Linked DNA regions of Oryctolagus cuniculus. The protein of the gene in region 1 interacts with the protein of each later gene in a biochemical or structural test. Links are inferred from orthologs where the notes say so. Each region holds a gene or a part of one and is shown in the gene's direction. Other genes may lie near its edges.

The links.
Region 2: the proteins of ZFP36 (region 1) and YWHAB form a complex in vitro, tested with the Homo sapiens proteins (2 studies listed by BioGRID). The link is inferred for Oryctolagus cuniculus from reciprocal best matches to the Homo sapiens genes ZFP36 and YWHAB.

What each region holds. Positions count from the first base shown.
Region 1 is NC_091449.1:15,543,490-15,547,812, reverse strand, and holds ZFP36 (mRNA decay activator protein ZFP36), read left to right. Parts: upstream 1-1,470; 5' UTR 1,471-1,606; coding exon 1,607-1,630; intron 1,631-2,392; coding exon 2,393-3,304; 3' UTR 3,305-3,991; downstream 3,992-4,323. UniProt on the Homo sapiens protein: Zinc-finger RNA-binding protein that destabilizes several cytoplasmic AU-rich element (ARE)-containing mRNA transcripts by promoting their poly(A) tail removal or deadenylation, and hence provide a mechanism for attenuating protein synthesis.
Region 2 is NC_091442.1:14,271,303-14,275,597, reverse strand, and holds the start of YWHAB (14-3-3 protein beta/alpha), read left to right. Parts: upstream 1-1,384; 5' UTR 1,385-1,520; intron 1,521-4,295. UniProt on the Homo sapiens protein: Adapter protein implicated in the regulation of a large spectrum of both general and specialized signaling pathways. Binds to a large number of partners, usually by recognition of a phosphoserine or phosphothreonine motif.

The sequences.
Region 1 (4,323 bases):
GGACCGGCCGAGGAAGGCCCCTTGGCCCCAGAGAGCGCCGCAACAGGGATTCCCCGCCGCGCCGGGGCCGCTAGAATCTCCCCGCCTCGGCACGGGCCCGCGGCCCCCAACAGTGAACTTTGCGCCATTGTGACCGCCGTGGCGAGGACTTCCTACCCCGTGTTTTCACCGGGCAGCAAGCTCACCGAGACCCCCTTGGGGAGGGGGAGGGGGAGGGAAAGTAAACCAGCACCCCCTACCCCCCCCAGATCTTAGCCGAGAGTTCTCACTGCGGGCCGCGCTTTGATTATGAAAGACTCGCCAACATGGCGAAGCAGCCCGGGCAACCGAGGCTTCTCCCCGGGCACCCCTGGCGGTCGCAGCCCGGCCGGCCCGCACCTGGGGACAACCCACTTCTTGCGTTTCAAAACAGCGCTCGGGCGAGGCGGTCTTCCCCAGGAGCGAGGGCCCGCCCACCTGTCCCATCTTGGGCGCCGTCCGGCAGAGGCCCCGCGGCCGGGCGGCTGCTGCTCCCGGGCTGGGGGCCTGCGAGGGTGACCTGACGTGGGTGTCCGGCAGTGTGAGCGCGTGGAAAGCGGAGACAGCCCTGAGTGCCCCCGCGGGTGTCTGCGACCCCACCCCCTCTCGATGACGGCGGCTCCCAGGCCTGGGTCTCCGGTTTGGGAGCGAGGCGGAGCTGCCCCAGCAGGTGTCAGAGAAGGGAATGCCCTATCAGGCAGAATGGTTTCCCTCCCTGCACTTGGCCAGAGTGGACTTTGGGCCTGGGGGGGGGGGTGTTGTTTCTTTGTTAATTCTTCCTCTTGGGGGTTCTTTGCGACCCCCCCCCTCGCTCGCACCGCTCCCGCCTCAGAACTTCTCTGGGGGGGTCGTCTCCTCCCTCGGTGTAGAATCTCTGCCTGTGTCTCTCCACCTCTGGTGTCTCTCCCTGCGCCTCCCTCCATCTCACCCTCTCTCAGCACGGCTCTGCGTGTCTCTCCCTTTCTCTCAGCGTTATGCCTTCCTGTCTCTGTGTCCCTGCGACTCCCTGTGTACGTCTGTTTCCCATGTTCCCCCCCCCACCCCCACACACACCCCGGGTCTCTTCCTCCCTGTCTCTCCCTTTCCAGCTACCTGCCGGCCTCTGGCTCGCTGTGTGAGCCCGTCCCTCCCTCTGCTTCTCGTCGGTTTTTTCTCTCCTCTGCCCACCCCCCGCGCCGTCAGCCGCGCAGGCCCTCTCGGCCTCTGCCCTTGTCAGTTGCTCCGGCAGCCCTGCCCCCACCCGTGTCCCAGTTCCATTCTCCGGCCTCCGTCTCTAGCCTTGAAACCTGGGCAGGCAGACGCCCTTCCCGCCCCGCGCCCCACCCCACGCACTCCCCTCCGGGCCGCCCCGCCGCGCGCAGGCCCCGTCCTGGCCGGCAGCCGGGCGGAAGGGGACTAGCCCAGGGCCCGTCGGGCTGCGCCGGGGGCGCGCGTCCGGGAAGCGCCCCTCCTGGCCCCGCCCCGCCCTGGGCCCGCCCCTCTCGACCACGCCCCCACTGCCCTATAAGAAGGTGTCTGTCGCGGGTAGCCGCAGCCTGGTTTCAGCGCTCCGACTTTGGGCCGATCCCTCAGGGCCAAACGCGCCGCCATGGATCTCACAGCCATCTACGAGGTGAGTCCCCTCCGGACTCCCCAGCGCCGGGACGCTAGCCTCCCTGCCAAGCTGGGGGGGGGGGCTCTTCTGCGCTACACCCTCCGACCCCGGCCCCCGGCTGCCTTTTCCGGACCGACCTGATTATCGGGGGGCGGGGGTGGGGGGTGGGAAGTAAAAATGGAGCCCCCGCCTGCCGGCTCTCGGCCCGGCCGGCACTTGGGTGGGGGCCCCGTGGAGTGGCCGCTGGGAAACTTTGCTCAGACCAGGGCTGGTCGGAGGCGGAAACGGCGCCGCACCTGGCTCACCCCTCGTAGTCGCCGAGGGCGCGGTGCCGCGCGGAGGCGTTTTTGGGGCTGAGTCTCGGGGCGGGGAAGCCGACTTCTGCCTCTGACGCCTCGACCCGCCTTCTCCGGGAACTCAAACCCCAAAGACCAGACTCCCGAGTTGGCTCTGCCAGGCTCCTCCCGTTGTGAAACTGGAGAACTAACCCGCTGCGCTCCTCATATCCGGGAAGGCCCAGCGGCTCCAAGTTGGGGACCTGACTTTAGGGTCCCCTGTTGATCCTCCCGGGAAGCTGGGATTCCTCCTCCAGCCGTGGCTCAACGCAGAGCCCCTGAACCGGGATCGCCGCTGGGTTCCGGAAATCCCGGTTGCCGTGGGCGGGTGGGGCTCCGGCCGGGAGCCCACAAACCGGCCTGGCAAGGTCTTGAAGTGCCCTGCAGCTGGGGCGCGCCTCGCCCTGCGTCTGCGGGTGTCCTAACCCGATCCCTGTTCCCACAGAGCCTCGTGTCGCTGCACCCTGACCCCCCATCCGACCACGGAGGGACGGATCCTTCGGGACTCTGGGGCCCGGCTGGGATCACCTCTCGCCTGCCGGGCCGCTCCACCAGCCTGGTAGAGGGCCGCAGCTGCGGCTGGGTGCCGCCACCCCCTGGCTTCGCACCCCTGGCTCCCCGCCCGGGCCCGGAGCTGGCGCCCTCGCCCACCTCGCCCACGGCGACCCCCACCACCTCCTCCCGCTACAAGACTGAGCTGTGTCGGACCTTCTCGGAGAGTGGACGCTGCCGCTACGGCGCCAAATGCCAGTTTGCCCATGGCCTGGGCGAGCTGCGCCAAGCCAATCGCCACCCCAAGTACAAGACTGAACTCTGCCACAAGTTCTACCTCCAGGGCCGCTGTCCCTACGGCTCCCGCTGCCACTTCATCCACAACCCCAGCGAGGACCTGGCCGCCCCCGGCCACCCCCACGTGCTGCGCCAGAGCGTGAGCTTCTCCGGCCTGCCCTCCGGCCGCAGGACATCGCCTCCGCCGCCGGGCCTCGCAGGCCCCTCCCTGTCCTCCTGCTCCTTCTCGCCACCCAGCTCCCCGCCCCCACCGGGGGACGCTCCGCTTTCACCCTCGGCCTTCTCTGCCGCCCCTGGGACCCCCGTGGCTCGAAGGGACCCCACGCCCGCCTGCTGCCCCTCCTGCCGCCGGGCCAACCCTGTCAGCATCTGGGGGCCCTTGGGTGGCCTGGCCCGGAGCCCCTCGGCGCACTCCCTGGGCTCAGACCCGGATGAGTACGCCAGCAGCGGCAGCAGCCTGGGGGGGTCCGACTCTCCTGTCTTCGAGACGGGAGCTTTCGGGCCACCCCAGCCGCCTGCAGCCCCCAGGCGCCTCCCCATCTTCAACCGCATCTCCGTGTCTGAGTGACGGAGATCCGTTGGATAGAGGGGCGCCGCGGTGTGCCGTGGGTTCCGCTGGGCCCAGGGCCTGTGGGGAAGGGATCCTAATTCATTCAAGTGGGTCCCTCCCTCCCCCGCATTCCAAAATGCATTAACTTCACCCCTGACCCCACGCTGGGGCAGGTCCCCGGTGTGCAAGCTCAGTGTTCACGGTGTTGGGGGACAGAGTGCTCTCTGGGGTTCTTTGAAGATGTAGCATACTGGAGGGAGACAGTGAGCCCCGTCCCCCCCGACCTGCACCCCGTCTGAATCTCCTGGAATCTCATGTGCTGTGAATAGTAGCCCCCTGCGCGCCCCCTCCCACTTCTTCCTGAGGTCCCAGCGTCTGGTGGTGAGTGGAGCCTCCCCGAGGGAGACTCCTGGTGCTCAAATTTCCCTCCACAAGCAAGCAAAGCCGTTGCCAAACCCCTCCCCCAACCGACGGGCCCTTTATTTATGACGACTTTATTTATTCTAATAAGGTTTTATAGTATTTATATATATTGAGTCGTCTGCTTCCTTTGTATTTTTTCCTCCTCTTTTTTGTAATATTGGAAACTGGTATAATTATTAAGTATGCTATAATAATATATTAAGTAATATATATTGTTACCTTAAAAGTCTATTTTTGTGTTTTAGAATTTTTAAATAAAAGGAACCGGCGTGTAAACTGGAACCCTGGCCTTTGTGCTGTCCGGGGCGGGGAGGGGGCGAGAGCCCAGCCGCCCTGCGGCGCTTACCTGGCAGGAAGTGACGTCACCAGGCCCGCCGTTCACCTGAGAGGGCGGGGCCAGGTGAGGTCACGGGGGGGAGCCGGGCGAGCCGGTTCCCGAGGCGTCTGGGGACGCTGCACTCGCGTCCTGCCGGGCTGCTAGGCCCGAGCGGGCGGGGACGGGACATTTCCGTCCCCACGGGGCCGGGGCGGCGAGAGGACGGAATGTGCCGGCGCCAGGCGCGGGGCGGGCGGGGACGGCCCGTGGAGTCTGGGGTCTGCTGGGCTCGGAGTGC
Region 2 (4,295 bases), on another chromosome or scaffold:
TGCTTTCGAAAACACTGCCAACTCAAACTGTTTAGAAATAGTCCCGCTGGGGGGTAAGGAGTCATCCAACGGGGTTAGGGTATTTACGATGGGTTATGTATGGGTAAGGGGAGCTTCTGGAAAACCTTGATTGTAACACTCAAGGAACTTACTATTGATAGTTTTCAAGGTCTGAGTGATCAGCAAAGGATTTAAGTAGGGACAGAACATGATTAGAATGGCATTAAACATTTTTTAAAAATATACTTGAGAAAGAGCACTCGCATTTACTGGTTCACTCCCCAAATGGCCAGACCAGCCCAGGCAGAAGCCAGGAATAGGAACTCAAACCATGTCTCCCAGGCGAATGGCAGGGATCCAACTGCTGGAGCCATCACCTGCCGTCTCCCAGGGTGGGACTTAGCAAGAAGCTGGAATCTGGGTGCCCCCCACCGTAACTGCTACACCTGCATTTTTAGATCAGTAGGCAGCTGATAGAGGCGGGGCTGGGCATGGTGTGGCGAATTAGATCTCTATCATTAACTAAATAAGGGTAAGGGAGAGATGACAGCAACGCGACCCAGGTACTTTTTTCTTCTGCCGCCAGACTCCCAGGGGAGCAGGGCCCCCTCTCTCCTGTGTATTGCTGTCTCTCCAGCACTAAGCGGAAAACCCGCTCCGCATCTGTCAGCATGAACAGGTGAGAGGCCAGAGAGGGTGAGGGGCCACGCGGCCCCGTGCGCCTCCCTGCAGCTTCCTCAATGAAGAAACCATGTGCACAGGTTTTTTTCAGAAGACCTTCACGTGGCCTCTTCAGGCTATGAGGGCAGGAGATAGTCCCTTAAGTACAGAAAGGCGGATAAACCGAAAACGGGGGGACGAGCAATTTCTGTCTTCCGAGGTCCAGTTATTCGCACAGCACGCAGCCAAAGGGTGTGTGCGCTGGGGCTCCGACCCCCGGGAGGACTACTTCCGGGGTGGCGTGGGAACCTGCACCCTGGGAATCGCTGTGCCTGGCCCTGCCCAGGCTCCAACCTAAGCAGCGCGGGCGCTCCCCCACCCGAGTCCTCCCTGTTCCCACACATCCCATCTCTGGACCTCCACCCCCATCTCCGCCCTCTCTCCTCCCGCCTCCTCTTCCCGTCCCCCCGCCCCACTTCCTTCCCCTTCGGCCGCCTCCTCCCTGCTACCTCTCCCGGCCCTGCGCCCGCCCCGGTCCGCTGCGGCCCTGCACTGGGCTCTTCTTCCTCCTCCCTGCCGTCAGCGCCCCTCTCGGGCGGCCAGGGCAACCCCGTGCCTCACTTGCCCAATGAGAAGACGGCGCAGGGAGGGGCGGGGCTTGAGCCAAGCGGAAGCGGTGGCCGGAGCGGAAGTGGAGCTGCAGCCACCGCCGCCGCCGATTCCGGAGCCTGGTTAGCTGCTGCCGCTGCCGCCCCTGCAGCCGCCGTCGCCGCTGCCTGAGGAGCAGGCTTGGGAAGGAAGCGGTCGCCGCTCTCGGAGCTTCGCTCGGAAGCCTCTTTGCCCCCTGCAGCCCTCCCACGGTGAGTGCGGCGCGGGCCCGCCCGGGGCCCCCAGGGGCCCACGCTCCAGGTCCCCCTCAGCCCGCGGCTGCGATGTCGGCCCTGCGGGTGAGCCCCCGGGGGTGGCGGTGCGCGGCTGCCGCGGCCCTGGCTGCCGGCTGCGGCGCGGGCCCGACCTCGCCGCGGCCCCTCCCTGTTTCCGGGGCCGGGCCCTTCGCCTGCAGAAGCCCGGGCCTCCCGCGCCGCCGGCGGCCCTGCCAGGCGGGCAGGGTGCGGCTCGGTACTGCGGGTCGGGGACGGCTGAGCCTTGGCCCCGGCCCCTCCCTCCTGGCTGGGCTTTTATCCCCGGCGCGACCCCTCCCTGCGCCTCGGTCGGCGAGAACTACCCTTTTCAGCCCTGTCACTGCGGCTCTGGGGCTTTCCGGCTTCCAAAAATTAAAATTTAAGCAAACGCAGGCGAGTTCTTGCGCCCCGGTGCCCCTGCTTGGCTACCCCTGGATGAGTAAGGGGTTTAACCTTGGGAGACAGCAGGGGGGAAACCCCCACCCACTTTGCAGCAAAGCCATTTCATCATCCTCCGCTGGGTACGGAGCCCGGCAGGACCCGAGATTCCCTGGGAAGATCAGGTCGGAGGTTTGAAGCAAGAAAATGCATTTGTTGGGACCGATGTCTGAGTCAGGCCGGATCTCCAGGGGAAAAAAGCCACCAGCTGGTGTTGGGAATATTTTCCCAGGGCATGCGCCGTCATTTAACGCCCGAGTGTTTCGTGTCCTCGGCCCAGATTCCCCCTGACTGTGTGTGAGAGCACGTTTTTCAGTCCCGAATTTCCCTGGTAGCCGGGGGAAGGGATGAGAACGCTCGACTCCTTTTCTATAGAAGCTGAGTCCATTTTTGCCTATTGCAAATGGAGAACTCGCATGTAATGGAGTTTTCAAAGGTGGCAGCATTGGCTAAGACAGTTTGCCAACCTTTCTGTAAAAATACATGGCGTCTTGTCCTTGCCTTTGCTGCAGTTCTCTTTGGTAAAGGCTGGATGGCATCAGGCTCTGATTTTCCTTGCCCTGTGTGGGAGCTGGAATTTGGCAAGATGATGTTGCGAACATAGAAAATCGGCTGGCTACAGGAGCCACGAGGGAGAAATGGAGCGCTGGGAAGCTGAAGGTTCCTTGCACTGATTACTTTGTCTGAATGGTCCACATGGAGGCACACACCATATACAGTGATGTAGAAATGGACACGTGGCCACTGAGATTTCTGCATCTTCCTGTTGGAATTTTGTATGTATAGAAATATTGCTCGGTAGTGAATTTCTTCATTGCTTCCAGTGCACGCCATTTCTTTCTCAGGGATATTTTAGATATCTGAGCCCTCATTTTTTCTGACCCATGTCTCTAACAGCACATAGTATGGAGAGTATAAAAACTGGTCAGTTTTGTCAGGTCCAAGTTGGAATTTTAAGCTTGGCCTTCAAAATGGGTGGCTGCAAATCCAGTAGCAATGGCTGGATTATTTTCCCATCTGCCTTCAATGAGATAAGTCAGTCACCCATCTTACAGATGAAGTCTGTATGAGAAAGGTGATTTGGCCTAGCCCACACACTTAGCTTCACACTGAATATCCTTATTCATCAGTAGCAAATATTTATGGACCGTAAGCCCCTGGAGTATGGCTCCTACCCTGTAATTTTGTGTACATTTCCCATGATGCAGTGCTTGTGTTATGGTGAAGCCATTTTAGAATTGGATCTCCCTGGATCAGGGAGGCAGCCTTTCTGAAACCAGGCTGAGCAGATTCCCATGGTGCTAGTTCCTAGGCAGCGTCTCCGGAGATCTGAGCCACTGCGAAATGTGCATCTTGCCCATTTGGCTGTAGGTGCAGAAACCAAAGGAGTATTGAAATTGGAACCAGGTAAATGCACTTCAGATGTAGGCGGTAATATTTTTTAGTATGATTTGCAGCATTTTAGTTAATCTCTAGTGTGGTCATGAAGCTTTTTTACAAACTGTAAATTGTTAAATGAAAGCTTTTGCTTTTTTTTTTATGACAATTTGCTTTTCTCCAGTTACATTTGAGACCCAGCCCTGCTTTGTGCACATACTGCTTTCAAAAAATGGTGTTGTTACCAATTTTTATTTTGCACATAGAAAATCTAGTCTGTCATTTTCTCATCTGTACAGTGCAAGTGGTGATGCAGCCTTTGATGTATTGTGACAACTCAGTAATTAAAATGAGCATCTGGGATACAGAAGGTGATTAACCACATGCGTGAATGTGCACATGTGCAGATCAGGCGTAGCGTATATTGTATGACATAAACAGGAATGTAGACTACACCTGTTTGATTTATTTATCACCGATGAAGTAGCATCAAACAGTAATAATAATAAATAATAATTACAGTATTTGCTGTGTGCCACAATTTGTTCTAAGCATTTTATATTAGTCTTAATAACAACTAGTGAGAGGTAAATACTGTTAGCCTCATTTTACAGATGAGGAAACTGAGGCACAGAGAAGAATAATTTTCCCAAGACCCCTTCCATGTACAGCTCAAGGTAAGTTCTAGAGTCAGGAAGGAATTGGAGCCAGGTGATCTGGCACTAACAAAGAGTAGGTGTCTACTTGTAGAGCAACACATGCCGATCATTTATTTAAACACCATTTAGCCTTTAATTTCTCTTTACATGTATTCTATATCCTTGAATTTGAATTGTAGCTATTTTTGACAGTAGATCCGTAATGTACTTTATGGGGGGGGGTGCCCATTCTGACCTGTGGGAATGAAGCCGCAGGTGT